Kluyveromyces lactis: one gene and its partners. The protein of the gene in region 3 purifies or fractionates together with the protein of the main gene of each other region. This does not show direct contact. Links are inferred from orthologs where the notes say so. Each region holds a gene or a part of one and is shown on either strand. Other genes may lie near its edges.

The links.
Region 1: the proteins of HOG1 (region 3) and PTP2 purify together in Saccharomyces cerevisiae (affinity purification with western blotting; 4 studies listed by BioGRID). This does not show direct contact. The link is inferred for Kluyveromyces lactis from reciprocal best matches to the Saccharomyces cerevisiae genes HOG1 and PTP2.
Region 2: the proteins of HOG1 (region 3) and PTP3 purify together in Saccharomyces cerevisiae (affinity purification with western blotting; 3 studies listed by BioGRID, with this or other methods). This does not show direct contact. The link is inferred for Kluyveromyces lactis from reciprocal best matches to the Saccharomyces cerevisiae genes HOG1 and PTP3.

Annotation. Positions count from the first base shown.
Region 1 is NC_006040.1:560,053-571,126, reverse strand, and holds PTP2 (tyrosine protein phosphatase PTP2), read right to left. Parts: upstream 5,386-11,074; coding exon 2,674-5,385; downstream 1-2,673. Other genes in the region: karyopherin KAP120, read left to right, coding at 1-2,588; SPC29 (Spc29p), read left to right, coding at 6,855-7,676; RNY1 (ribonuclease T2), read right to left, coding at 7,787-9,064; ARG2 (acetyl-CoA:L-glutamate N-acetyltransferase), read right to left, coding at 9,943-11,074. UniProt on the Saccharomyces cerevisiae protein: Major phosphatase responsible with PTP3 for tyrosine dephosphorylation of MAP kinase HOG1 to inactivate its activity. May also be involved in the regulation of MAP kinase FUS3. May be implicated in the ubiquitin-mediated protein degradation.
Region 2 is NC_006039.1:669,920-679,767, reverse strand, and holds PTP3 (tyrosine protein phosphatase PTP3), read right to left. Parts: upstream 3,054-9,848; coding exon 102-3,053; downstream 1-101. Other genes in the region: MAM33 (Mam33p), read left to right, coding at 4,843-5,622; MRX1 (Mrx1p), read right to left, coding at 5,992-8,145; PCI8 (Pci8p), read left to right, coding at 8,274-9,443; ICP55 (aminopeptidase), read right to left, coding at 9,519-9,848. UniProt on the Saccharomyces cerevisiae protein: Major phosphatase responsible for tyrosine dephosphorylation of MAP kinases FUS3 and HOG1 to inactivate their activity; it also has important roles, along with MSG5, in the inactivation of FUS3 following pheromone stimulation.
Region 3 is NC_006042.1:1,861,494-1,871,688, reverse strand, and holds HOG1 (mitogen-activated protein kinase HOG1), read right to left. Parts: upstream 4,481-10,195; coding exon 3,146-4,480; downstream 1-3,145. Other genes in the region: ATP-binding cassette glutathione S-conjugate transporter YCF1, read left to right, coding at 1-2,903; CCW12 (Ccw12p), read left to right, coding at 7,431-7,805; thioredoxin peroxidase AHP1, read right to left, coding at 8,864-9,379. UniProt on the Saccharomyces cerevisiae protein: Proline-directed serine/threonine-protein kinase involved in a signal transduction pathway that is activated by changes in the osmolarity of the extracellular environment.

The DNA of each region.
Region 1 (11,074 bases), on a different chromosome or scaffold from region 3:
TAAAGACACTAGGTGTTGCCAGAATTGGGAGATGTCGACCTGCTATGCAATCAAAAATACCATTACTTTTTCCACTTTTAACCAGGATCTATATGCATTACTTCAACAAGTGGACAAATTCTGCCTCTCTAGAGAGTGATGATATATCTAAGTTGCAAATATCGTATCTGGCCCTAAAGGTCTTAAGAAGAGTTGCAGTTGATGGATATGAATCCCCACAAAAAGACAAGTCTGTGGTCGAATTCATTTCCCTGTCTGAACAGCATTTCCAATTATTATTGAAGAATTATGACAATTTTAAGACAGTTGATATGTATGAAAAGTTTATCAAATGTTACTGCAAATTGTATTTCAATCTTATTTCTGCATCTACGGCAAACTTTGTAATGATGCCATCATCAAAGACTATTCTCATAACATTCACTACTTTGATAATCGAAAGAGCATCTGATGTTTATAATGAAAACACAGAGTCCCAAACAGGATTCTGGGAAACGATTGCAATCAGAGGGTTTTCAATATTGAAGAAAGTTATTAATTTTATCACCAAAAAGGGTGCTGTAACCATCAAAGTTAGAAGTGATAAATCTGAAGTGGATGCTGCTATTCATAAATTAACCACCGAATTCCTCTCCGAAGATCTTGTAAAGAAATTAATAGACTTATTGATTGATTGGTATTTGAGATTACGGCCAGCAGACTTGGAAGCATGGTCTCTGGATCCTGAGGAATGGGTAAATGAACAAATGAGTTCTAGTTACGAATATCAAATCAGGCCTTGTGCTGAAAATTTTTTCCAAGACCTAATCGACTCCTTTCAGAATCTTTTAACACCTTATCTTTTAAATAAGATTGACTCAGAGGCCGCTCAATTATCTGACTCGATCGATGATTTTTTGAAGAAGGATGCCTTGTTTTGTGCTTTTCAACTCAGCTCGCATGCAATCACTGATATGGTGGATTTCAACAGGCTTTTGGAAACGGTTTTCTTGCCAGAAGCATCAAAATCCAATTCTTCGCCCGATCAACTGAGAATTATCAGAAGGAGAGTTGCTTTGATTATTGATGCCTGGGTCACTAAATCTTCGGATCATTCTAAGCAACAGTGTTACCAATTTTTCTTACATATGTTCAAAACAGAATCGGACAAAGTCGTACAATTATCAATTGTACAAGCGTTTAGAACAATGATTGATGACTGGGATTTCAATAAATCCATATTCGAGCCATATTTGGAAAGCTTCGTTGTAATCTTTTTACAGCAGCTTTTACCTGATGTTTCCTTAACAGAGACTAGATTATACGTATTAAACACACTTACAGATTTGATTATCCAAACAAAACCGCTTGTGAATAAACAGTTCCTAATGCAGATACTTGAGATTGTCCCTGAGTTTTGGCAGCTTGCTTGTAATGAACCAACTGAATCAATACTCGCAAATGTTCTACTTCGCTTGCTGAGGTATTTATCGATTTCTTTAGGGAAATATTCTTACGCAACCTGGGACATTTCATTAACCATAATCGAGGCTGCCTGCAACCCAAACTCACCACATACTTCACTACTTCTAGAGGATGGTTTAGAACTATGGCACTCACTTCTACAGAATTACGATCCTACGGAGAAATCACTTGATGGGAGATTTTTGAACGCTAGCCCATTCCTACTTCATTGCGTGGAGAACCAGACAGAATTGTTGCCTATTTCTTTGGAGATCTTAAAAAGTTACGCCATTTTGTTGCCCGCGCAGGAATTTTATTCCTATCCTGCTTTTACTGAAATCTTAAAACATGCTGCAAGCTACTTGTTACTTTTACGTGACGACTCGTATACCATACTTTTGGAAATATGGGATGTTTTGGCACTTTCAGATGAAGGAGAAAATGAGATGTCATTACTATTCTACTTTTCAAACAATTCCGTTTTCAAGAGTATTTTCAATGCAATTTTCTTACAAGAGCAATTATCTGCATATCAAGCGAGTCAATTGTTCCAGATATTGGCACGTATATCATTCAATGGCCCACAGAATATCATAAATTTATTGTCTGATTATTTAAAAAGTATTGACGGACCTCTGGAAAATTCTAGACTCCCTGCAAGTCAGCGTAAGTTAGTGACAAATGAGACTTCTTTAGATGACGTGCTCAAAACGTTTTTCGAAATATGGTGCAAGTGTTACGGTTCTGTTTATGATCCAAAACTGAAAAAAATTCACTTACTTGGCATCTCCTCACTTTTGAAAACTGGTGCGACCCCTTATTTGCTTGAGTTTAAAGTGATTCTCTCGATATGGGTTGAATCGTTAGAAGAAATCAACGAAAGTTTTTCAGGCGACTGTGAAAAGTACCACTTATCAGACCCAGATTCTTCTTCTGATACAAATTGTGAACAAGCTAGACTTCACGAATTAATCAAAAAAAATGATCCAGCTCATAATGTTAGTATTAAAGGATTTATTTCAGATACGTTGTCTTATTTGAAAAGTCAAATGGATGATACTTCGTTCCAGAAACTCATTTTGTCTGCGGATCCTGTGCTTATGGAAAACCTGCAGCTGTTCATGTCGATTAAACCTCATCAATAAAGCATTAATTATAATTAAATCGCATTAAGTAGGCATTTTGAATGAAATGCTGCTAGCATAACGTTGTATATTTACGTAGATATAATTATATGTGCTCCTTCAAATAGAAAAATTCCAACATGCTCTCGTAGCACGTTAAATATTGAGTTAAATTTTGCACCATGGAGATCCGCTGTTTGCGAAGCTCATTAACAACAATGAAAATCAAGTCCGCTGACATGTTCCATACATCGATTTTGTTTGATTGATTAGAACGTGAGTCCAATACACCTAGCAAGAAGTCTAAGGTAATGAAGACACCTGTTCTTCCACAACCCGCAGAACAATGAACCAAAACTGGAGATCCAGAATTGTTTTTGTTCACGGACAATAACCCTAATTTGCGATAAGTGTGCAAAAAATCTTCGGTTTTATTGTTAAGAGCATTGAAAAGCGAAGCTGGATCATTCAAGAGAAGATTTTTGATATGATAAATATGAATGAAGTCTCTCATGTTGATTCCACAGGAGTCTAACCATTTTGTGTATTGAAGTTGGTACACGGTATGGGGGCGAGACTCATTCTTGACAGGAAGTTGGTCGAATTTTGTTCTTTTATTTGGTGATTGAATTCTGGAATCTGATTTCGATACATTCATGACACGTAAAATGCAACCTGGAATATCAAAAACATCTTCATAGGTATTTGTTACCTTGACTTCATGTTTGCGGATGGATTTTGAGTTCCAGTAGATATCCCATTTCTTCATGTCCAACTCATCATAAGAATTAAGGGATATAATAACTTTTAGATTTTTAGAAAGAACAACGTTCCAAAAATCATCGATGGTAGATGGTAGAGGGGCTTGTGTTGCAATGTAGTTGAAATCAGGGTTAATTTGTGGTAATCTTAAATAGTTAGCATTGAAGTAATCGTTGAAAGGTTCCGTATCATAATCTGTTTCAGAAGTTGCAGTTGTTTCACTCCGATTGGCGGGATGTGAATATAATCTAGTAGGTGAACTATCCTGTGAGAAGTAGCCAGCATTTTCGTCAACAGTTTGTAATTCTAACTCCCGTCTTCTGTTCCCGCCGGGGGTGAGGTTGTCATATTTACCAGATTTTGGCGCCGATAGTAAAGATAGCTGATCTGAAGTCAAAGTCAATTGTTCTGCAAGAGGAGAGGGTTGTAACCTCACCCTTGAATGCTCATAAGGTAGAATGTTGGAGTATCTGTTCTTGGTGAACGATTGAATCCCTTTAGTCATTTGATAATTGCCCAGCGGAGTCTCAACCACTTCTTCATCTGAATTTGCCATTTTTTCGTTAAAATTACTAGCGTTAATGTCACTGGCATCAGGGTATTGAGAGCTCCTCGACACAACAGTGATACCAGAGTCCGCATCGTTCTTCAAAACGGGAAGCAGTCCTGGTGAAACGGTATTCAATTTTCCTATTAAATTGTGCTTGTTCGAATCGTTGAGTTCTTCCTTAATATCCCTCCGTAACTTCTCATCCACAGAACCGTTCGAATGTTTCATGACTAGAGTATCGTCATCTGATTCATCCAAATTTCCGTTAGGTTTATATTCTTTTTGAAGACTCCGCAACGAGTACTCTTTTCCAAGTTCAGTATGTGGTGATTGCTTTTCTGGCAACCTTATGCTAGATGTATCATTATTATTATTATTATTATTATCATTGTTATTGTTACTGTTGTTGGTGTTGTCGCTGCTATTATTATTACTGTTTTGAGCGGAGTTGACATTAGAAGAAGGATTTGTGGCCATCAAACACTTCTCTAATCTTCTAACTTCTAATGCTTCCAAAGTCTCGAAGTCTTCAAATATACGTTCCACTACGGAGTCGTTCTTCGTGTTGTACGGTGACAACCATCTCGGTACATGAGAGGGCAGTACTTCAGGGGTATGAAAGACGAAGTATTTTTTAATCGAGTTCGGAGAATAATGAATACTATCTCTTTTCAAAGATTGTATGAACATCCTAGTTGATGAAGCTGAAGAAATCAAATTTGGAGAAATTTGGCTTTCGTCAACTTGTGGTATATGCAATTTCAAATTAGGATGTTTACTGTTGCCATTATTGTCCTTCCCATCCTCCGGATGACTGATTTTGAACGATGGTAACGGTACCGCCACATTTGGAGGGAACCGTTGCTTATTGAAGGACGATGGTCCACCTTCGATTAAGCTGATCGTATACGAGGGGTTTTGCTCATTGAGGAATGGTATCAATTTCATAATCACAGAGCAAGTCTGCTGATTACAACGATGAAGCGTTGAATGCTCATCGTAAATGACAATATGATCAGAACTAAGAAGCCTATCTTTCAAGAGCGCCTGAGTTTCTATATGCAATGTGGAAATCAACTGATGGAAGGTGGTTCTAGGCCTTCTAAGCAACGTACTGGGGAACGAAACATGAAGGGTATGAAAATCTTTCAAAGGGTATCCATGACTAGTTAAATCAAGCAAAAACGTAGAATCGTCCGGTTTCAAGTCTGTAATTGCCACTGTGTTCAAACACGAGTCCCTCACTTGAGGTTGTTCCATCAAGTCCGCGTATATCGAATTGGGTCGCTGCCACCGCAAACCTTTGACCCCATTAATATTAAGACAGTGACTGTTAACCGTTTCCAAACACAGTCCTGTTATGCCATTAGTGTTAAAACCACCGCTGGTACCGTGCTGCCCACCATTACTGCCGTTCACATTAGACATGGCAGGTGATGCAATCTTTGGTGAGCTGGTTGCAGTGCTCCCGCTCGGCGACATATTCATACTCATTTGCATTCTCATGATGAATGTAGTACGAAAAAGATCAAAATTAGGACTAAATCAAATTTAGACTAACGATGGTCTCTGTTCTCCGAATACTTGAACTCTTAATTTCTTCTCTTATCCTTCTAGATAATCTAGACTCTCAAAAAATAGGCGTTCTTGATTCTCTTTATCAATAACCTGATTCTGTATACCCACTACACAACTGTCCTGGGTGTCCTATTGCGGGTCTACCCAAAATATATCTTGTGTAGTTGTTGCTTTGCTCCGTGTGCTGTGTAAACAATATACCTTAAAATTTCAGAAACTGATTTCTGTCTGCTGTATATATTCTGTTTTCTATATAAATGACTAGGAGGACTGGATCTTTTTTTTTTTGTTCCATGTTCCATAATTCGAAGGATGTTCTGAAAGGCAATTAATACTGAGAACTTTAATGAAATCAATGGAATTTCGCTAGCAAGAGCAAGTTAAATTTGGAAGTGTATGTAAGCAAGTAACCGTTTAATCATGAATCCTGGGATCCGATGCTGTGCCCGTTTAAATTCCTGTTTTTGCAGAAACGCTGCATCTGCTGTGTGACTGGGCGATCAAGCGAGGTGCAAGATTTTTGCGTAGGAGTTGTTACTTCTGAATGTAGTAGGTATATAATTAACTCATCGTGCTGTTGCAATGCCAGTTGGGTTATGTACCGTTTGTTCGAGAGGCATTGAATTGGGATCCATCGGCATAGGAATATACGTGTCAATTCCAATGCATGGAAAAGCTTTCTGAAAAAAATCAAAGAAGTCTCATTCTATTCATTGTTCTGACAACGCATTCGCTCTTAAAATAGACAAGTTTGTTATCATAGTGTTCTAGGCGAGAAGAGAAGATGGAGTTACCCTAGCCAATAATAACCACTGTTTTGCTCTCTCATGTCAACAGGTTCCAACAACGGGTTCCCACTAGTCTAAGCTTTTTGCTGAACGAATGTCTTGAGCTCAGTTGTATAATTCAAATACGTCACTGCCAGCTTGTTCAGAAAAATGAAATAATGAGCCTGACATTCGGGGCTATGCTAGGTTCAGATTTGTCTGGTAAGTGGTGTATGGGTTGTGCTGTGATGACGGGACGATATTACCAAATTTAGGTATCCATAAGACGGAAGAAGTTAACTGATCGCGGAGCCGGAAAGAGCCGGAAGACGATGTGCATGTGTTACCCGGATGATCTGCATTTTGTTTTATTTTGTTTTTTTTTTTTTTTTCTTTTTGATGCACGTGATACGACTTCTTTTTCCCCTCTCTTTCTTTGTTGACGGTTTCACGAATTTGTTTGTGTAAACATTGGAGAATATCGATACATTGCGACTTAAGAGCGCGATGTGTGGATCATGTCTAAGAGAAGTATTGTAATTTAAGTGTACAAGCAGAGGATATACCAGAAACGAAAAAAAGTTCCCTAACCTCACGTCTCATCTGCTACCGTCCGTTACTCCCGTAATAATGGATGTTTCACAGTTTTTGAATAATGTGGAAAACGATGATACTTTGCAGAACATTAGGAAGGAGTATCTGAACTCGAAAAGAACATTGCAAGAACTTATGACGAACCAGAGTCCGACCAAAAAAATGGAGTTTTCAAAGAAACCAACACTGCTGCAAGAACGAAACAGCAACGATTACATTAATAGAAATGTCAACAGTAGTAAACCCACCGACGATGAGTTTCTTCGACGCCAATTAAGGGAAGGTCTATCCAGGAAACCGGAGCCAAAGATTAGTTTACCTTCGTTAGCCTCTGATACAAATAGGCTAGATAGTATATACTCTAGCGTTAATAAGATTGATGAACTAGAGAAAAAGTTATACCATCATGAACTACAAATACAAGCTCTCAAAAATGAACTGTACCAATCAAATGCTTCCAACAGAGCCTTGCAAAATAAAGTGGCTGAGTTGCAAGATAGCGTAAGAATGCTAGCGGCACTTAGTCATAGCAATGTTAAAGCGGATACGGATAATTCTCAATTGTCTGCCAACGGAAAGTGGACTAGACATTATGCGGGACCAAACAGTAACGGGAACGGTGTATACCTTGATAGACCCCAAAGTGCTCCTTCCACTTCAAGTACTTCAGAGTGGGTAGCGAACGCTTTGCATGATTCTGATGATACTAGAGTGCTTCTAGGATGGAAACAGCCGTCATCTACTAGAGTTGATAATTCCAGCAACTTTCACTTCCCACACAATCAGCCCAGAAATTTATCCAACTTTGACGACAACACAAGCAGATTAATAGGTGTCACTGGGAAAACCAGAAACTAAGAGGTTCTTATGTATATATTAGATTAGCTTCGGCTGCTTCGTGCCGTTGTATTTTGTTATATTTTATATCATTTTGTTTCCGTATGTCTTATATAGAATTGAACTTAACCCTAGGCTTTTACGAATTTCAATTGGAAATTGTATCCATCATCGTTTGAACCTGCGTACACAGGAGCTTGTTGGTTACCCCTTGGATATTTGGTTGCATACCAATCATAAGCTCCGTTGTATCCAATGTAACCTTTCTTTGCGTCATATTCGAATTGAGCGGCTTGGGCAACGTTTTTGTTACATGCCAACACTTTATTAGAATTATCGATACCACAATATCCCATTCTTGTCTTCAAATAATAGTTTCCAAATGGTGCCTCTATCAAGAAGAAATTAGCTGGGGTTCCCTTTAAATACCAATGTCCATTTTTGATTAGAAACCCTTTACCGTTACCAATTCTTACAACACCCCTGGTACCAGGATGGTTGCCATTTGGAGGTCTATAAGAGGATGGAACATGCCCCTTTGGATACCATTTAATATTATCATCCGGACAATTAGAACCTTTGGGTAGCGCAGAAATAGGTACAAATTTTTCTCCTAATAAGGATCCCTTCAATGAGTGGAAGTACCAAATTTGGTTCAAGGAACCATGTCTGTCACATAAGAAGTGTACTACTTCACCAGAGTGACCTTCTTTTAATGCATTCGATATTTCAAGTTTGGTGTAGCTCTTTTCCACACTCGGTTCAATTCCCGCAGACTTTAATGTCTGATAAGTGTCTTTATCATGGAATAATTTCATGGCGATTCTGAAGTAATCATAAACTGCTTGTTTCTTACTGTTCCCAGCCACTCCCCATTTTTTATAACAATCCGGATATAATGTTCGAATACAAGTTCCGTGCTTATTATATTCGTGTACCCACAAACTTTCATCATCACCTGTGTTACTTTTCCAATACATATCCATAGTTTCTAACAAATCAGTTCCGTTGATCGGAAGATCATCTCTCCCGTTGAACTGATCATCGTTTAGTAAATGCCAAACATCATCAATGTTACTTTCTCTATTGCAAAACTGTGCATAGGTTCCATCACAGTTATCCGGCCATAAACCGTGGTTTGTGAAAGAATCCAACGGCCCTAGATGCCTAACTAATTCATCCGGGTCAGAAACCCCTTTAGGCGGTATGTAATCCCAAAATTGTGTTTGTAACATGATGCCACCAGGGAATTCAAAGCAGCAGGAATCCTTAATCTCAGTGTTGTTTGAGCAACTTGCCGGTAGACTAATCGGACACGAATACTGTTCTTTGTAAAATATATGCTGCAAATCAAAAGCAGTTGTAGTGTAAGCTAACAAACTTGCTAGTAGCCCTTTATTCAATAGCATCCTTAATTTAGTTGATAATCCTTATTGATATTACCTGATGAAGTAGCGTTAACAATTACCCTATCTTTCGGAATCTGCCAAAGTTATACCAAATGCAAGTCAAGTGATTCCACTGTCGTAGTTTTCTTATATACAAGAATTGAAACCGCTCTTATCAGGATTGTTGTGGAACTAGTCATGTTTCAATACCATTTATGGCGTCTTTTTGATATTTGAATATGTTACTACTAGTAACAGTAAACATGTGCAGTAGCTAATCAGCACTGGTCTTCAAAATATAAAAAAAGAGAGAATTGGATTTGAAAAATAAAAAAGAAAATAGCTCGCACTCAGGATCGAACTAAGGACCAACAGATTTGCAATCTGCTGCGCTACCACTGCGCCATACGAGCTGACTTTCAATGGTTTTTGGGGAAGTGCTCTATTTGTTCACGAGTAAACGTTTGGAGGCACGTTAGATACAATCGTCGGATAGCTACCGATACAGCAGGCGGTTAAGTACCGAGATTATAAAGGGAGGCTTACAAGGTGAAACATCCTTAAGTAGTCTGAATTAATATATATTGATGTATTATATCTGGATAATGACCATCAACACAGTCATGCTAGAGCACCAGTTGCATTAATATACACCACCAGATATATAGCCAATGACAGTCATGATTTCATCTGATATCGAAGAGAAAGAATCCATCACATGTAACAGGGATAGTCCGAAACATCGACAGATTAATGTGCCAGTTGTCATCAATCAAAATTAATGTGTGACAAGGACTTTTTCTTTATTTTCTAATCTGTCCAATGAACAAAAGGTGTTGAAATGTCTTCAAAATGATAAATAAACTAATTTATGTACATGTAAATTGGCATAAGTTTGATCATTTATGCCAACTTGGAGTAATATCCCTGACGTATTTAGCGTAGTCTCTCAATCTTTCGACGTTATGGAATGACTCGCTTTCCGGATTCCCATAATAGAACAATTTGAAAATACTCTGCTTCTGATCATCATTACCTAGGTCTAAAGATAAATGAAGCACTCCGGTACTTCTTTGGAAGTACCATTTATTTACTACGTTGTCTTCACGAGATCTCCAAATTAGTTCGTGTGGGAACTTGCGAAACATCAGATTGAAAATGATATCAGATATTCCGAGAGAGCCCTTTAATTTTTGTGCTACCGCAAATTTGTCCAAATATACGAATTGCTTGTCCTTTGGCCCTTCGTATGTCAAAATTGCAATACCTTCATAATCTCCTATTACGATTATGCTCGCTATGTTACCATTGATCCTGCCGAGATAATGTGATAGGTCCAATGACCTTTTAAAACTTGAATTGATTATCCCATTCAGTTTATTCAAATCGAGTTTTTTCGATACTGGGTCAGATTTGCCAGTTTGAGTAGCTTGCGATGGTGGTAGACCTATGGAATTATCATCGGTCAAAGTCCTGAAGTCAAATATATGGATATCAATCCCCTTCTTGAAAACTGTAGTCACAAGAACTGAATCGTTTGCGGAAGTGACTTCCTCTTCCACGTTGGAAGATGGAAGCTCATACCAGCTTTTCGATTGAGCCGCAGCCGATCTTTTGAATCGAGGTAAAGATGACGATATCAATGAACGATCAGTCAAGATATTATATACCAATGGGTTATTATCTGATAATTTGGACCCTGCTAAAATAGTGGTAATTAGCCCAGTAGACGAATGTGGTAGAACTGATAGCGTTTTATTCATGATTTCAAGGTCTTCCATATGACATTTCAGTTGATCGCTGTTACTAAGAATCTTATCCTGATTCAAAAATAATTGTAGAGATTCTACCAAATTCTTCTCAGTATTATCCACTTGAATAGATTCTAGTTTCTCCAATTGATTTTGATAACTGTTTCTCAATTCTCGATATTCTTGTGACAAATTTACAAAGACATGGCTGTTTGTATGTCTTTCCACAGACGGCAATCCACCATACTTGCTGATAAGGAACACCTTGTCGATATTTATG
Region 2 (9,848 bases), on a different chromosome or scaffold from region 3:
TAGGCGAGCATCAGTTGCTTTGTTGGTGTTTGACAGCACTTGATGTTGTATTTTGAGCAGCGAGATTGTTTGCATTCTATATCGCTTTCAAAACGATGGATTCAGACTTGCTGTAGCTCATTTACCTTTCCGTCTATAAATTTGTGCAAAATGTCAAGGTGTGAGTTCTCGTCTGTCATAGACTGCCAGTTATTACGCTTTTCAGGGTCTGTTGGTGAAGTCTCCAAATTCAATGTAAAATAGAATAATAGACAATCATAAATGAAGAGAAATTGGTTGATATTTTGAACCATAGAAATACGCTGTCTTCTGAACTGGTTTACGGTTGTCACGATTGGATCAAACATGAGACTTGTTGGTGGTTTCGTAGCAGAAAAAGAATTAGATTTTGTAGTTGGAGAAAGATTAGGAGTTAACGGTACGGCGAAGGCGCCATACAAAGAAGGATTCTCATCGGTATCAAACTTCTTTAGGTTTGATAATATGGAATCAACAGTGCACAAAGTACCTGTTCGACCACATCCAGCAGAACAATGAACGAGCACAGTCGGTGTGTAATTAGGAGAGTACACGTTATGTGCGAACAGACTATCAATGACAAAATTCTTCAAATTGATTATTTGCAGAATTTCGTTTGGTTTGAGCAATGTCCCTAAGTCTGGCCAGTCTTTTATCTGTAATTGCAATAGTTGGAACTTACTTCTATCATTATTATAGCTCAGTTCAATTCTTCGAATGATGATCTCATTGTTATTGTCTGAAGTTTTGTTTAATTTAAGATGTCTCCAAAACTTAGATGCAAACATATCTTCCTCATGGTTAGATTCTGCCTTCATTGGTTTATCTTGTAACATAGTACTAAATTCATCCAGAAGTTTGACGTTTATACCATCATAGTTACCGTTTGCCCAAAAGTTGCAACACTTCTCAACTCCATTTTCAAACTCATCAGTTAGCGTTAGAATTATGGGCACATTGTTGTTCAGAATGCAGGTGTAGAAGTCCGAAATTGTCTCTTTCAAAGGAGCTTGGGTGGCAATATAACGTACAGACTTGATGTCAGCGGTAGAGCTTTGCTGAAGTTGGGCAAAAGGATTAACCAAATAGTTAGCATTAATATAGGTATTCCAAACATCCTCTTGTTCATCTTGAGTTGGCAAGCCACTAGCACAGGAACTATATGCGGAAGATCTCGGGGAAGGGGTTGAATTCTCACAGCCAGCACTGCATATACTAGAATGCGAGAGCTTTACTCTTGTGTGCTCATAAGGAAATATATCCTTATATCTATTCTTCGTCCCAAATTCTACCCCAGATGATATTGTGATGCTTTGTAAGTTCTCTTCAGCATCATCCTCATCAACATCATAATGACCATCTTCGACACATCTGTCGTTACCAGCTACAGTAGACCGAGATTGAGTGCTGACAATTGAAGCGGACGATGAGGGGCCCAATAATCTCTGAAGTCTTTTTCTTTCTAATAACTCCAATCTTTGGAACTTAGATATAAAGTGCAGTTTTGGAATGTCCATTAATTGGCAGAACCAGGAAGGAACTACCTGATTGATCTCCTCTGAAGCAAATCTGTGGTATAGGTTATCATATTTAACTTGGAAATTTAGTTTAGATGAATTGTGGCCACTAGAAGGATCTGCTGGCGATAATGCTGTTTGAGTTGAAGTAAATGATGACGAAGTCGCATCGGTACTGAACTGTTTGGACGGTGAAGCAGGAAATTTGAAGGATCTTAGGTCATTTTCTGATTCTAAGAAAGAATTTCTTTGAGAGCGTTCATTGATCTCTACGGCCTTCACATAATTATCTAGATCGGAAATGTCATGCTCAATCTGCGGTAACTTAAAAGTTGGTAAATGTTGATTATTTATCGGTGCCGGCAGTTTAAATCCAAACAAAGATGATAATGGTGATGATGTGGATATTGGGGAACCAGATAGAGTCCTACTGTTACCGGTTTGTGGTGGCTGTTTCAAAGGAGAACAAGAATGCGAATGAGATCTACCAGAGTGTTTCAACTGCGGTTGAACTGGAGAAATATTGTCTGCCTGATGAGGGGAAGATGGGGAATCTAAGGTATAAGAGTCTTCCAAATCCATGGTACCAACTTCGACGTCATCAGGATATGCTGCATTAAATGATTCAAAACCTTCTGCGAGAATGAAAACAGAAGGCTTTTGTTTGTCACTTACATGATCGAGGATCTTAGAAGATATTCCGAAACATGCCAATGATACTGCATAATCTGTCTGGTTTGCCACATTATCGTAAATAACCACCTTGGCATTTGCAGTGGCGCTGTCACTGCCCAATAAATATTCCGATAAAGTTTCCCTTCCTGGGGAAGGTAGATTACCTATCAACCTTTCCAGATTGAAGTTTTTCCTTTTCAGTAAAGTCGAGGGAAGACACAAGTGCATTGCCGATCTGATGTGATTTTTGTTGAACTCTATGAACGGCCTTGTATCGAATATTATCAGTTTTTCATTGGGATTCTGGTCCATATTTTCAATATAATGGTGCAAGTCCGCAGGGCTAATAAACGAGCAGTCTTTATGTTTAGGAAATCGGAGATCTTTTGGACATATTGTTGGAATAGCGGGCAAGCTATTGGACTTCATTGCTATGCTCCGCGATCTACTCCGTGAAAACGAAAGGGAACTTCTATGAGATGCTGACAACGGTGAAGGTGTACATGTACTATACGAAGGTTCAGATGCTGAAGGGAAAGTCGACGCATGTATCAGAATCTTTTCGGGCAGTACCTCCGTTGAATTTCTTTTGTAATTTGCGCTCAGGGCAGGAGATGCTAACGATGAATTCGACGATTTATCATCGATCAAAGTGGATGACGAACTTAGAACTGATGAACTTTCCGATGTGAATGAGCTGCTCTGAATTGAATCACGATCTTTATACTCTGTACATCCAGATATCGATGGTGGTCTAGCGAGAGGCCTTGAAAACGAAAGAGGTTCTTTGAGTTGGATTTCTTCCTGTTGTTTGTTGGTGCCCATCGTGTCTATATACTCCATTTCTCTTCGAAATTATAAATAGATTAGATTTGACACCCTATTACTAACAAAGTACTTTCTTTCTGTATGCTTAATTTGACAGTTTTGTCTTGGTATAGGTTCTTATTTGGTGTCTTCGTTAAAGCAGTGATTCGAACAAAGTTAAAAGATAGCTGAAGATGTTGGAAGCTGTTCTATTTGGTTCAATAATGCACTAGACCTAGAAATTACGAATTAGAAAACACTTGACCGAAAAGAAAAGAAATTCTAAAAAAGATATTGAGAAGAGGATTGCATAAGGATACACAGATGCATGCATTCGAGAAACATATCCAATGGAAAAAAAAACAACAACAACAACAATTAGCACGCACATCCACGTGATATACGGTCGAATTACATAAATGCATATGTGATATAGTAATGCCCACTTCGTTGGTTGAACCAGACACCTTGCTACTTAATTAGATTACTTTTCATCTGTAGGAAATTACCTGAAAAGACACCTTATGTAGGCAGAAAGGTACTGAAAACAAAGGACTCAGAAAAATATGCGATAAATCTTCTAAACTATTTACACCCTCATGCCGATTGCAATTTTACCAAGCAATACTCATCTCTTGTTGAATAAGAACCGCAAATTGTCAAGACATGTTACAAGGATATCACGGATGAAGAAGCAGTTTCTATGGTTAATTACGACACTCTGTTGCTTTGTGAAATGTATGAACAAAAAAAAAGACACAAATCTAGAAATCAACAGTAGAGCCGAAAGAACGGTATAATAAGGACCGAAAAATATGCTAATAGTCAAAAGATCTAGATCCCCTGGGTACTAGTCTGAGAGTATGTTCTTGGACTTGTACTCTTCAACTTGTGAAAAGTAGTTTAATAGAAGAATTGCAGATGGCTGCATAACACACCACAGCAAAATCCTGGGAATAAATTTCAATCATGAGCATAATCATAGATGGGGCTCTTTTGCGCAGTAAATTACGTCGTTACAATTATTTGCAACTGGCTTTTTTTTCTTTCTTAGAACTGACAATGAATGTTGTCCTCCGTGCTCTTGCAAAAACGAACACGAATTTTCTCGGGAAAACCAAGGCGTTGATCATTGTTCCGGTTCGAGACTACGGTCGAAACGGACATTACCTCTCTGCCCTAAACACACTCTGATCAGTAAACGTTCATTTGTCAAATAGTAATGCGAGAGTTACCATGGGACTAAGGCTCGAAAAATTTCGTACTTTTGATCCAGAATGTTAGCACGGAAAGCAGTGACCAAAACGGTTCGAAAGTTCGCTTCCCTCACAAAAGAAAAGAATTTTCAATAGAAATGGACTCGGGTCTCGAACATCTTTCTGCAAGCTGAAACGAAGAAATTAACGTAGTGAAATAACTCGGAAACTAAAGGCTACCACTACTCACAAAACGAAAAGCGAAAATTACGTACGCCTAGAAGTCAACGCACTGTATCTGTACCAGGGTCCGCCCTTAGAACTGTTCGAGCAATTTGTACCCGGATGGCGTCTTTACCTCTTTTATTGGCTTGTTTACACTTTACTCATTCACGTGACGCTGAACGTGCGGGTAAATATGAAAAGGGCATCCACCTCATTACCCTGATATACTTTCTTTTTGCCACACTCTAGGATCGAGAGCTGAAAGGAAAAAGAATTCTGGAAAGATTATAAGCTCTTATATTGAACTGTGATATTTCAAGCGATGAGCTAGCTTATTTGATCCAAATTTAAGGGTTAAAACAAACCAGTCCTATAGGATAAGCCCCCTCCCCTGATAGAATACTATGTCCCTACGTTTGATTACCCGTGTTGCCTCCCGTGTTGCTGCTCGTCCAGCTTCCATCCAGGTGGCCAGAAATGTGATTGCTCGTCCAACCTTTATCACATCTTCCCGTCAACTCTCCTATACTGCTACCACTTTCAACCAACATACTACGAAGGTTGCTCAAGTTTTAAACAGCGAAGTCGAATTAGAAACTTCTCAACAAATTGTCGACTTGCCAGAAGAATTGGCTACTTTCCTGTCCAAGTACGGTTTTGAGCCTGTCGTTCAAGAAGGCCGTAACTTGGCTCACATTAGAAGACAATTGAACGATGAAACTATCAATGTCTTCTTTGACGTTGCTCAAGTTGCTAACTTGCCTGTCGAACCAGCTGCTTTAGAACAATCTGAAGAACAATTGGAGGAAGATTTCGATAGTATGTCTGATAACTTTGCCAATGTCAACATTGTCGTTGTGAAGAACTCCGACAACACAGCAATTTCATTTGAGCTTTTGATGAACATGCAAGAAGGTTCTTTCTACGTCGATTCCGTTACCCCATACGAATCAGCAGAAGATGCTTTGAATGAATCAGCAGAAGCCGAAATCAAGAGAGAATTGGGATACCACGGTCCTCCATTCTCTAACTTGGATGAATCTTTGCAAGAGTCCTTGGAATCTTACTTGGAATCCAGAGGTATCACCACCGATTTAACTTCATTCATTTCTAATTACTCTGAGTTCAAGGAGAATAATGAATACATTCAATGGTTGTCGAAAATGAAGAAGTTCTTCGAGTAATTGCAACAATAACTCTTTTTCAATATGACTAAAGACAGAAGTATTTGTTCATTCAAAAACAATTCTGCCTCTTGGTGGTTTTACTTCACTACTGATCACTGAGCTTTATGATCCCTCTATCAACATTTCTCTTGTATATACATAATTTTTCTCTTACCTTTTTTATTATGGATTTTTAAGGCAAATTTGTACATTATATATCGCTCTATGTAATATCTGTTATAATGTACCTATCGTCTTTTCCATTGGTACCTTTGATTATTACACCGTTTGCAATAGTTTAATTATTGAAATGCAGAGCCAGCAAAAGACAAGCCTCCAAGTGAGATGCCTTTTTCATTGGTTTAGTATGTACAGGAGGCATCTCAATTATGTTGGTGAAAAGTCATCAATGTTGGTGTCCAATATTGTTTCACAATATTGTCTAAACAATTTTTCGATTTCGGGGCTGTTAGAATCCCTATCATGTTCTAGGTTATCCACAACCTCTAGGATTCTCTTTCTTAATCTTATTAGATGCCTACGAAACAAAAATTTTCTTTTAAGTAAAGAATTTGAATCTTCCGCTTCAGCTTGCACTTCCTTTAGTTCTTCATCGGTTAAATTCAAAGATGATTCCAATGATTTTATAAAACGTACAGCTTCAAGATAAACAAAACGCATACTCTCTCGAGTGCTTCCTCTCTGCTTCAACAACATTACTGGATCACAGAGCATTGTGGTAATGAACTCGTCTATTATCGTTTTCTTGAAAGTCAAAGGTAACGCGTCTTTGCATGACATAACAATTCTCAATAAGAACATCCATGGTTTCCAGGATAAATAGCTCTTGTACTCATCATTTTGAATCGAAGTCTTTGCTTCATTGTCCTTCATAAGTGCAAGACATGATTTTACAAGTTCTGTCGCCTTTACAGGATCACTGTTGTTTAGCTTTTTAGTAGCCTGTCTTTCAAATGCTTTATAAGTTAAAACGACGTGCTGTAAGGGTTCCCGCAACATACCATCATCCATCATCTTACGAAGTAGCTCATAACATCTCTCTCCACAGTTCTCCGGATCTGCTTTGATAATTAAGTTCAACGCAGCGTTTATTGTTCTGTTGTTGAAAAGGTTTGGTCTTTTTCCCAGGTAATGCTCGAAGAAAGCGATACCATATTCGTATTGTCCGGTCTTAAAGCAATTTTCCATTAAAAGATGTGCAACATGGGGAGTCAAACGCATTTTAGATTTGATATTCCAATTCTTCAAAGCAGGCAACTTGACAAATTCTGGTATTTCTTTCTTGAAACGAACATTTGGGACCTTAAAATCATAGAATATATCAAGCAGAGGCAACACACAATTGGAAAATCGTAGATCCCTTCTAGAGTGCCAAACGTTCAAATAATGAAAAAACATTTGTGAATCGATAACTTTGGGGTCAGCAGAGTTCATTATATCATCAGCCCTTTGAATGGCTTCCACTGCATCTGTAATCTTCGCACATCCAATAAGTAGTTGCGTGTACGCAATTGCATCTTTTTTTATACCTTTGGGTCTCAAATCAAAACATTTGAACAGGTAACTAGGGTCGTTAGAGTTCGCCAACGCACTTAATGCAGCGTTAAAATTTATATTATTGAGTCTTTCATCTTCAACCAATTTTAAAACTATCTTCACCACTCGTTCTGCAACTTTGACAGAAATTGGTTCTGGCAACCTTGCCAACCCTTTGAACAAATTTGTTTCAGTGTATTCATTGGGAGGTATTTGCCACTTCTTTCTCCAAGAATATAAATCCACAGCGGAATGGCTATCTTTTTCAACTTCTAGATAATGTGTCATTAATGTGTTCATTCCAGCTGCACCATTTGGTCCAGCAAGCTTTATAAGAAATAAAGCCTTTTGCAACTGGCCTCTCTTACAAAATTTCGCAACATCGCGTTCCACCAATATTGAATTTTTTAGTTGAGGTCTAGATATACCTAGTATAGTATACATTAATCTTTTATCGTTAGCGACAGAAAGAATGCTCGTATCATCGTCCGAAGTTGGTCCTACTTTGATAGACTTATCAAGATTAGTAATTTTGTGTCTCCCTTTTAAGATTTCATTCGCTTTCTTAATGGAATATCCGTACTTCCGAGCTTTGCGTGCTTCCCTTCGAGCGATATCCCTCTGCTTTCCATTTTCCTTCTCTGTTCGCTTCACAAGTGTCTGTGTCTTCTGCAGAAGGTCCAACTTAACCTTCAACGGTGAGCCGTAAGGTACCCGCGTAGCATGAAATGCCCTAACAAAGCGCTGCGCACATGGCACATGTATAACTGTTCGACCTATCGACATACAGATTCTGATGCTTGCTGACTGACTATCCTGTCTAAACTGCTCTTGAGGTGTCTGCGATGAGGTTGTACTCAAAGATTCGACCGTGATTAATATTTTTCCTACTACAGAATCATATTGGAAAAATTGACATAATATGCAAAACAGCCATATCTGAACGAGAACAAGAAACAGTGTAAGCTGCATCACACGAGACATAATTAAAAAGACCAACAAGGTGAGTAGTACTAGAATAACATCAAAGCCTCTGAAAAAGAGTTAGCATTGTTTGCGATTGCATTTTTTACATGTTTTGGGGCTGTTTTTGATAGAATATTGCATTATATATGACACAAGGTAGGCTATTTTATCCGTTGGCAGTGCTTCAAGATCGTCATTTCAGATCCAAATATCCAAATTACAATGAAAGTAGAGAGCTCAAAACCTGGAGTGTTGTTTCAAAGCGATTTCCTGCCTGGGAACAAAAACTAGTATCTATGCTACTTGATAATAAATACGCTGAATCCATAATATTTATCAATAGTGATGTTTCTATGAGCTCAGTGGGTGTTTTCAAACGGACCAAACTCCTGATTAGAACTCATATTCTAAATTCTCATTATAAAGCAGTGATTGATTTTGAATCTAGGCTCAATACCCAACCCATTACTTCTGAGCCAACGGAATTAGCGGATTTCATCGAGTGCAAGTTATTATTGATTTTAAATTGGTTCCTAAGGGGGGAATATCATCAGTGTTTACAAAGGTTCATTCAACTAATCATCGACATACCAAACTTGGTGGAGCTAATGGTAACTCTTCCAAAAGATGATATCTTTATATCGAATGAAACAATGTTTTACATCATCACTGTATCTGCATTAGTGTCAATTCCCCTAGATAATTTGGACACATTCATTCATTTAGAAGAACTAGAACAGTTTCATAAACACTTTGATGTTCTTGCTGGCAAGGGCAAACTTATAATTAATAGTAAGTTCATGAAGTTTTTCGACTGGTGGCACAATGATATGGAGCGGCTTTGCAAGCAAGATTATTTCTTAGAAAAAAAGTGGGATATAATATCTAAGACTATGAGACAAAAGATGTACGCATTTTATTTGAGGATAGCAACTAAAATACAAATTAGTTACCTATCCGAAAGAGTCGGAATATCTCGAGAAATTGTCACTCAAGAAATCACACAACTAATCTCGGAAGCCTGTTTGAATTTCCAGATTCATGATGATCTCATTTTATACCAGAAATTTGACCCTCAGATGGCTCTAAACGATTTGATGATGACTGAAGATATCACATTGGATAATAAGCTCTCCCAATTACGTCGTCAAAACCATAATTTGAGAGTAATCGTCGATGAACATTTAGCTTTAAGGAAAAGCAGAATACAGCGGCGAAGCAAGGCGAGTGACGAAGAACCTATGAATGAAGAAGAAGTTTTCGCTCTGAGCGAAAACGAGCTCTGTAATGAGACTGCTGATACTTTCAATGATTAAGAGAGTACGTAGTTTTGTTCTATTTACATGATAAATGCTAGTGAAATTACATAACTTTTAAATATTTTCGAACCGTTAGAAATCAAGAGGACGAGGTATGTCGTGATCTATTTTGGTAGAAACACCATGCTGAACAATGTTTTCGATGTCAATTACTTCTTTAGCTGCTTCAACCGTCAAGTTAGTGTATGAATTCAGGCCAATGGCAATATCATCTTCGATACGAATTCCAATATTCCTGAAATATTCGGGGTATTTTGGATCATTAGGGATGTAGAGACCAGGTTCGATAGTGATCACTTGACCCTCTTGCAAAGGTTGATGCCTGGATATTTCTGGTACGTCGTGCACATCTAAACCCAAATTATGACCTATGTAGTGCGGGTAGATTTCATTGATATCCCA
Region 3 (10,195 bases):
TATACACGGAGGAAAGACCATTATCCACTGATCTAGTCTTCCCTGCATTAACTCTTTTCAATTTATTGTCATTCCCTCTTGCTGTTGTTCCTAATGCAATCTCTTCATTTATTGAAGCATCTGTGTCCATAAATAGACTCTTTGCATTTTTGACTAACGAAGAGTTGCAAAATGATGCCGTTTTACGTGAACCAAAAGTAAAGAATATTGGTGACGAAGGTGTTAAAGTCAACGATGCAACTTTCTTATGGCAACGCAAACCTGAATATAAAGTTGCCTTGAAAAACATAAATTTTGTTGCCAAGAAAGGTGAACTAACATGTATCGTGGGGAAAGTGGGTAGTGGTAAGAGTGCACTTATTCAAAGTCTACTAGGAGATTTGATTAGAGTGAAGGGTTTCGCAACTGTTCACGGTGACGTCGCCAACGTTTCACAGGTTCCATGGATTATGAATGGTACTGTTAAAGATAATATCTTGTTTGGTCACAAGTATGATCCAGAATTTTACCAGCTGACTATAAAAGCGTGTGCTTTGAGTATTGATCTCTCTATGTTGCCAGATGGTGACCAGACTTTAGTTGGTGAAAAAGGTATTTCTTTATCTGGTGGCCAAAAAGCAAGACTATCGTTAGCCCGTGCCGTTTATTCTCGTGCTGATACTTACTTATTGGACGATCCTCTCGCTGCTGTAGATGAGCATGTCGCTAAACATTTGATTGAACACGTTTTGGGTCCACACGGTTTGTTGCATTCCAAAACAAAGGTGTTAGCAACAAATAAAATTACTGTTCTCTCCATTGCGGACTCCATTACTCTCATGGAAAACGGCGAAATCATTCAGCAGGGAAGTTATGATCAAGTTAATGAGTCAACAAACTCTCCACTATCGAAGCTTATTGCCGAGTTTGGGAAGAAGGGTAAACCAACTCCTTCCCAATCTACTACTTCCTTGGCAAAATTAGCGTCGGAAGGAATTGAATCTTATTCAGACTCAAAGATCTCTGAAATTACCGTAGATATAAATCAGTTGGACACCGAAAACTTATCTGAAGCTGAAGACCTAAAATCTCTAAGAAGAGCTTCTTTGGCAACCTTAGGCTCAATTGGTTTTGATGACAATGAAAATAGCGCCAGAAGAGAACACAGGGAACAAGGTAAAGTCAAATGGGATATTTATATGGAGTACGCCCGTGCGTGTAACCCCCGCAACGTGTGTGTGTTTTTGGGTTTCCTAATCCTCTCGATGCTGTTGGCCGTCATTGGTAATTTCTGGCTCAAACACTGGTCAGAAGTCAATACTGAGAAAGGCTATAACCCCCATGCCACAAGATATTTGATGATTTACTTAGCTTTAGGTGTTGGTTCCGCTCTGGCAACATTAATACAGACTATTGTTCTATGGGTATTCTGTACTATCCATGGCTCCAAGTATTTACATGATGCAATGGCTTCAAGTGTTTTAAAGGCACCTATGTCTTTCTTTGAAACAACTCCTATTGGAAGAATTCTAAACAGGTTTTCGAATGATATTTATAAGGTAGATGAAATTTTGGGTAGAACGTTTGCTCAATTCTTTGCAAATGTTGTTAAGGTCTCTTTCACCATCGTTGTTATTTGCATGGCAACTTGGCAATTTATCTTTATTGTGTTACCATTGAGTGTATTGTACATCTATTATCAACAGTACTACTTGAGAACCTCAAGAGAATTGCGTCGGTTGGATTCTGTTACTAGGTCACCCATTTATGCGCACTTCCAAGAGACCTTAGGGGGGTTGACTACCATCCGTGGGTATTCTCAACAGAACCGCTTTGTACATATCAACCAAACCAGAGTTGACAATAATATGAGCGCATTCTATCCTAGTGTCAATGCTAACCGTTGGTTGGCATTTAGACTTGAATTTATCGGATCCGTGATCATATTGGCTGCATCTATGTTGGCTGTTATTAGACTTGGTAATGGAACTCTAACTGCTGGTATGATTGGTCTATCATTGAGTTTTGCTTTGCAAATCACTCAATCGTTGAATTGGATTGTCAGAATGACTGTGGAAGTAGAAACTAATATTGTTAGTGTTGAAAGAATCAAAGAGTATGCAGAATTGAAGAGCGAAGCACCATATATTATTAAAGACCATAGGCCACCAGCATCATGGCCAGAATCAGGTGAAATAAAGTTTGTGAACTACAGTACCCGTTACAGACCAGAACTAGAATTGATTTTGAAGGACATTGATTTACATATTCACCCAAAGGAGAAAATTGGTATTGTTGGTAGAACAGGTGCTGGAAAGTCATCTTTGACACTTGCCCTTTTCAGAATTATCGAGGCAGCTTCTGGTCATATTGTGATCGATGGTATCCCAATTGATTCTATAGGTTTGGCTGATTTGAGACATGGATTGTCGATTATCCCGCAGGATTCTCAAATCTTTGAAGGCACAGTGAGAGAAAACATCGATCCTACTAATCGGTATACCGATGAAGAAATTTGGAATGCATTGGCTTTATCACACTTGAAGGATCACATACTGGGTATGGGATCTAATGGTTTGGAGACCATGCTTACTGAAGGTGGTAGTAATTTAAGTGTAGGCCAAAGGCAATTGATGTGCTTGGCTCGTGCCTTGTTGATTTCAAGTAATATCTTGATTTTGGATGAAGCAACTGCAGCTGTTGATGTTGAAACGGATCAATTGATCCAAAAGACGATTAGAAACGCATTTAAGGAAAGAACAATCTTAACAATTGCTCACAGGATTAACACAATTATGGACAGTGATAGAATTATAGTGTTGGATAAAGGTAGAGTAACAGAGTTCGACACTCCTCAGAATTTGTTACAGAAGAAGGATTCTATTTTCTATTCGTTATGTCTTGAAGCCGGCTTAACGGAGTGAAACCCCCTCAAGTTGTATTATCATAACAGAGATTTTGTTTATTTAAGTACTTTTGTAATAATTTTGTTAAGCAATTGTTTCCTAGTTGAGATGCCCTATCAGAATTATAAATAATATTCGGTTTATCGTAAGAAACGTGTAAATAGTTACATTTCTGCTGTGATTAAAAGATGCTTTATATAATACGAAATAAAAACAAAAAAAGAATATACTTCTGTCAAGCAGATTTCATTACATTGAACTTATTTGAATTTGGAGACGTATTGGTCTGCTTGATTAGCAAAATTCGTCAATGTTTCGTTTGCTGGATCAGGGCCAATAGAGAAAGAAGGGTTAGAATTGGAATTAGAGTTAGCGCCACTTTCAAGTTGTTGTGGGGTCACTTGAGCCTGGGGAGGAGTAGAGGCGATTGTCTGTTGAGTTTGCTCTTCAGTTTGGTGTTGTTGCTGCTGCTGTTGCTTAGAGGCAGCCTCCGCGGCGGCGACAGTGGCAGCGGCTACTTGGTCGTCGAAAGTAGCATTTGTATTGATTTGTGGGTCACCGATTTGATGGAAATCCAAGATCTCGGAATACATCATTACACGCCAGGTGTCAACAGGTAAGTCAGCATCGTTGAAATTCCAATCAAACTTAGCTTCTGCGATAGGTTCGTCGGTTGGGTCATGATATGGGGAAAGGTAAGGATGGGCCAAGGCATCAGCTGCTGTAATTCTCTTCTTTGGATCGAACACAAGCATTTTTTCTAGAAGATCTATAGCATCTGGTTCCAAGTTCTGGAACCTCGAACTGAATGGTACAGGATCTCTATGAGGTAATGAAGTAACAAATTTGAGAGTGTTCTCTGAGCAAATAGTGTCTATGACATCTTTTGGAGGCGATCCTAATAGATCAGTGATGATAGAAAATTGATGCACGTGATCTTTACCTGGGAACAAAGGCTTACCCTCGATCATTTCGGCAAAGATACAACCAGCAGACCAGATGTCTACTTCAACATTATATTTTTGCCAGGTCAACATGATTTCTGGGGCTCTATAGTAACGGGTTGACACGTAACCAGTCATTTGAGGATCTTGAATCCTAGCAAGTCCGAAATCGCAGATCTTTAAATCACAGTTCTCATTGATCAAGATATTGGAAGGTTTCAAATCTCTATGGATCACACCTGCGGAATGAACGTATTTAAGCCCCCTCAAGATCTGGTATAAGAAATATTGAACGAATTGTTTTTCCAAAGGCCTTGTCTGCAACAATCTATGTAGATCCGTCCCTTGCAATTCAGTGACGAAATAAATATCTTCTAATGGTGACAAGAAGATATCTTCGAGACAAATCAAATTCTCATGCCTTAGATGCTTTAACAATTTGAGTTCCCTATACGTTCTTTTTGCCAGTACGGAAGTAGAAAACGGTTTCATAATCTTCTTAATCGCTACAGGCTGGCTTGTTAGCGTATCTGTAGCAGAACAAACCAACCCGAAGGCACCCATACCAACCGGGTTCAAATTAGTATACCGATTGGTAATTTCGAAAACTGTACCAAAAATTTGAGTCCTAATAAATTCCTCATTCGACATTTTATTTCAATTGGAAAAACGTGTCCAGCTTCGATATCCTCGAGTTTTTGGTTCAACGAAGGATACGTATATGAATCTAATTCTTTGGGAGATCGCTCGAACTGGCAGATAACTTAAGCAACGTTATAGCAATTGTTGTCGAAGGGTCTCCTAGTTTTGTTTCTATCAAGTTTTCTTTAATTTTCAATTTTTTAAATTTAACGACTTGAATATGAAATTCAACGGTTCTAATTCACTAAAAAAAAAAGGAAGGGCCTGGCAAAAAACGATGTCCATTCACCGATAATGGAGGGGAAAGTGTCACAGTGGGAATTATATAAAACACTGTTTCGAAGATTTTATCACCGTTTGGTTCTGTGATTAACCCTGAAATACTGCCTGTGTACTTGTTTCCTATTTAAGACGTAACAACAGCTCTGACAGATAGGATCGACGTCGGCTTGATAGATTGGGTTATTATATGTGTATGCATGTATGTATGTAGAGTAAGATTTGCGAACAGGAGGGGCAGTGGCGGATTATGATACATGACATCCGGGTAATACTTCTACTGATATCACGTGATAAACCAAGTAAGAAACCCTTGAGAAGACCACCCAATTATTGCACACCTGTGAATACCGTGACGTTACATATTAATACTGGTGACCATAAACGTTAAAGGTACTTCTTGATCAATAATTATACATTTCCTCATTTAAAGTTTCTTTGTAAGTCGAAATGACAGTTTTTGGACAGACATCAATTTGAATAAAGTATGGTTTGAAACCGCCTACTTACATACAACGTGATCTGATAAGAAAACTTACGAGACAGGGTAATAGATGCATAGAAACGGATTAGTAACTTGATGTTACCCGGGAAATCACACCTCTTGGTTTTCTAGGCATGGAATAGAAAAAATGGACGAACCGTGAGATGATTTGCAGTAGGTAAAACCCACCGGCCGCGCCCTTGACGCTCTGTCGTAGTTTGTAACCTACTATCGGCGTTTCCAGGGTCTATTTACAAATCAAGCCATGACATCCTTCTCTACTGGTGACTGATCTGACTTACACTCAACATGAGTCGAACCCGCGACTCTGGAATACGACGATATACTTGAGATTTGTGATTAGCGCCTTTAAAGCCCTATCATGGAACCCTTGAAACGCGATCGCACAGGGTAAACAAAGCACACCATCTTGCAGAAGCAAGCAGACAAAGGGGAACGAATCTGATTAAAGAGTGAAATGCCCAAAGTCTAGAACCTTTTTACAGGGTACCAAATATAGAAGATTACGCAAAACTATAAAACCAAAACAACGGAAATCAAAACAAAAAGAGTCCGCAGCAACTACGTAATTTTTTCGTGGATTCTATTGCCTTGTAGTATTGCGTAGAAAATTGCTCGTAGAAAATAATCTCCCCCTCAGTTCTACCTGAAAAATTTCGAGTTCATATCGCTCGCTATCTGATATCTTGAATGAGACCATCTTTTATTTTTTCTCATCTGGAGTGGGATTTTTTTAATATCTTGCCTATGTTACTATAGATATGCGTTGCTAGCTATCTTCGATGCGGGCGTGCGTTATTTGCCTATTACTGAACTTTGAGCACTATAAGGGTTATTACGGGCGATCTTGGCCATCCCAAGCTATCCCTTCGAAAGGCCAACTTCTTGGTATATTCTTAAACCAACCAAACCGAGAGTAAAATATTGCCTCCAGCCGACGCCAAATATGGCAAAAATACCAAGCAATAATTGGTGAGTAAGCTGGTATATACTAGAATAGGAAACTGGAAACATAGTCGAGAAAGAGTGTGAAATAAAATTCTCGTTGCTTTGTAAAACGGGAACATAAATTTGCCAAGATTTATTTCCGCTACGTAGAAAACACCGCAATACGGGCATAAGCACACATTCGTGAACCTGAGATTTTCGTAACTGCGGTGTTTCTTGCATTGTCTTTTTCTTTTTTTGCGGTCACCCCCATGTGGCGGGGAGGCAGAGGAGTAGGTAGAGCAACGAATCCTACTATTTATCCAAATTAGTCTAGGAACTCTTTTTCTAGATTTTTTAGATTTGAGGGCAAGCGCTGTTAACGACTCAGAAATGTAAGCACTACGGAGTAGAACGAGAAATCCGCCATAGGTGGAAATCCTAGCAAAATCTTGCTTACCCTAGCTAGCCTCAGGTAAGCTAGCCTTAGCCTGTCAAATTTTTTTCAAAATTTGGTAAGTTTCTACTAGCAAAGCAAACACGGTTCAACAAACCGAAAACTCCACTCATTATACGTGGAAACCGAAACAAAAAAACAAAAACCAAAATACTCGCCAATGAGAAAGTTGCTGCGTTTCTACTTTCGAGGAAGAGGAACTGAGAGGATTGACTACGAAAGGGGCAAAAACGAGTCGTATTCTCCCATTATTGTCTGCTACCACGCGGTCTAGTAGAATAAGCAACCAGTCAACGCTAAGACAGGTAATCAAAATACCAGTCTGCTGGCTACGGGCTAGTTTTTACCTCTTTTAGAACCCACTGTAAAAGTCCGTTGTAAAGCCCGTTCTCACTGTTGGCGTTTTTTTTTTTTTGGTTTAGTTTCTTATTTTTCATTTTTTTCTTTCATGACCAAAAACAAACAAATCTCGCGATTTGTACTGCGGCCACTGGGGCGTGGCCAAAAAAATGACAAATTTAGAAACCTTAGTTTCTGATTTTTCCTGTTATGAGGAGATATGATAAAAAATATTACTGCTTTATTGTTTTTTTTTTATCTACTGAAATAGAGAAACTTACCCAAGGAGGAGGCAAAAAAAAGAGTATATATACAGCAGGTACCATTCAGATTTTAATATATTCTTTTCTCTTCTTCTACACTATTATTATAATAATTTTACTATATTCATTTTTAGCTTAAAACCTCATAGAATATTATTCTTCAGTCACTCGCTTAAATACTTATCAAAAATGCAATTCTCTACTGTCGCCGCTTTCGCCGCCGTTGCCGCCGTTGCCTCCGCTCAAAACATCACCACTGAAACCGCTACCGAATCCCAAACTACTTTGGTTACCATCACTTCTTGTGAAGAAAACAAATGTAGCGAATCCGTTTCTGAAGCTTTGGTCTCTACTGCTACCGTCACCGTCAACGACGTCATCACCGAATACACCACCTGGTGTCCACTACCAACCACTGAAGCTCCAGTTGAAAAGAACACCACTTCTACTGCTGCTCCAGCTCCATCCACTTCTCACACTCAACCAGATTACACTGGTGCAGCTGCTAAGGCTTTGCCAGCTGCTGGTGCTTTGGTCGCCGGTGCTGCCGCTTTGTTGTTGTAAGTTAACTTATTAATGATATCAAATCTATAAAACAAAAAATTCAGGAATAAAATCTTAGGAAAACATCTTTTCTGAGTTCTTCTTTTGTTCAAATGCTTTTACAATAGGTTTTCTTTCATTACATGAGTGATGCAAATGCAAAGACCATATTAGTTTTTAGTTGATTCAAAGGAAAAACACGGAAAGTGCACCTTTGATTTTTTTACCTTTAGTTTTTATTTTTTTTCTCATCTTTAATAATACTTATTCTAATTTACATTTAAACAACAAGCACATATCTACAATGCTAAATGCTAACTCGGTTAAATTATCCCCCTTTTTCCTTCAAATCAATTTTACAATCGGAATATCAGAAAATAATTTGTTTTTGTTTTATTCTTTTTGCCCTAATAATTTTTTAAGGTAAACAATTGAAACGAAAATGAAATAGTTGAAAAATTAGGGCAATTTTAAGCCGATTCAGTTTTCGCATTGTTTTCTATTGGGTTTTGGAAATACAACCTTTTGGTAAGTTTTTTTTTTTGAGTTTCCAAACCACACGTGTAAACATGTTTTTTGTTGGTGGGCTAACACACGAGAGAGATTGAATTCCTTCGATCGTCACGTTACCATTACAACTTTCAACTACAGACTCGAGGGTTTTCCCAACGAAACTCGTTATTTTTTTTTCCTTTTCCTTTTTATTTTTATTTCTACTTTTTCCGTTTTTGAATGGATCTAGTTTCACGATCAGGAGGGATTAAAGAGATATTATAAACTGTTGAGACTTTGAATGATTTCTATTTCAACAAAGCGTTTTGCTTTCTATGCTACAGATTAGACAATTGGTTTTGTTGAAATTTCTGTTGTTCAAATGTATTTCTCATCATTGCACATTTATGTTTCCATATGTATGTACATTTATATATTGATCTATCCTTCTAAATTGTTGACTGAAATAAAAAAATGCCGTTTCCGTTTTGAACCTCCCTACTCAAAGTGAAGCTAAGGGTTAAAGGTAGAAGGAAGTAATGTACGTTAATATTGACTACTTAATAGTATTATAGTTATTTTTCTCTCTATTTAATCTTGTTCAATTGTTCCAAGGCATTATCAACGGAAGAAACTGTAACATCAGTAGCTGGGTTTTCTTCAACGGCTTGGTAAACAATCTTCCCATCCTTGGCAATTACCAAGTATCTGCTGGCCCAGAAAACGCCGGACTCAATTGGCAAGGCAAAGCCCAAAGATTGGGAAAACTTGGCACCGGCATCAGTGATGAACTTGATCTTGTCGGTATCCTTGACACCTAGAGTCTTGGCCCATTGTTGGTTAGCAAATGGATTGTCAGCAGTAACAACGAAGACTTGAGATGCACCGGCATCGACCAATTGGTTCAACTTTTGAACGTAACCTGGAATGTGAGAAACAGAACAGGTTGGAGAAAAGGCTGCTGGAGCACCAGTAATCACAACAGTACCCTTATATTCAGTGAATGAGGTCTCAACTGGAGCAGAGCATGCTTCAGTACCTTCCTGAGATGGAATAATTCTGATGTATTGGAATCTTGTGTTTGGTAGAGTATCAGAGGACATATTTGCTGTATTTTCTTAGGTATTCCCAATCCTACGTATAAACACTAACACCGGCAGAAGATATTTCAGAGGATTTCACAAGACAAGATGTGCAATTGAAAGCTGTTCTTTATATATGATTCTTATAAACTCCCACACCCCTACTATGGCTTGGCCTGTACCCTTTTTTTCATCCCATAACAAGGTGCGAGCTCAAAGTAGATACATATATTACGTAGCACCTCTAGGAACCAAACTGACTTGCCTTGGCCATAGCAATGTTACGCTTCCTGTTTTTTTATTTTGTTCTTTTTTTCCATCACCGTCTTTGCTAAAGCATATGGGCCATGACAACAGAGCCTGATTATTTAATGAGATATACTTGGTGCAGAAAGAGGCAGAATACGGCGAAATTCACTCAGCATCTTCTTTTTTTTTTGCTTCAAGTAGATGCTGACACATGGAAATGAAGAAGAGGCGAGAACGACGTATAAGCGGATTCTGTTTCGTTCCTCGAACTCATGAAAAATAAAATATTTTTAATGTTTTCGTCGTATTTCTCATAGATATCATTGGCTGATTCTAACTAGGTCATGCCATCAACTGCAAAGCTCCTAGGATGAGCCTCCTGCTGTTAAGTTTATCCGAATACCGGGATAGATGCGGTAGTGAGCCTCAGCGAGCCTCAGCGAGCTATAGAATATGAATATGCAATAGTGTTCTTTCCGTTACCCGATGAGTAGTTAACGGAAGGGAAAAAAAGAAACATCTGATCCGAAATTTACGGCTATTACAGACGGATGGACCCTTTATTTTAAAAACCGTTCTCTTCTTCAA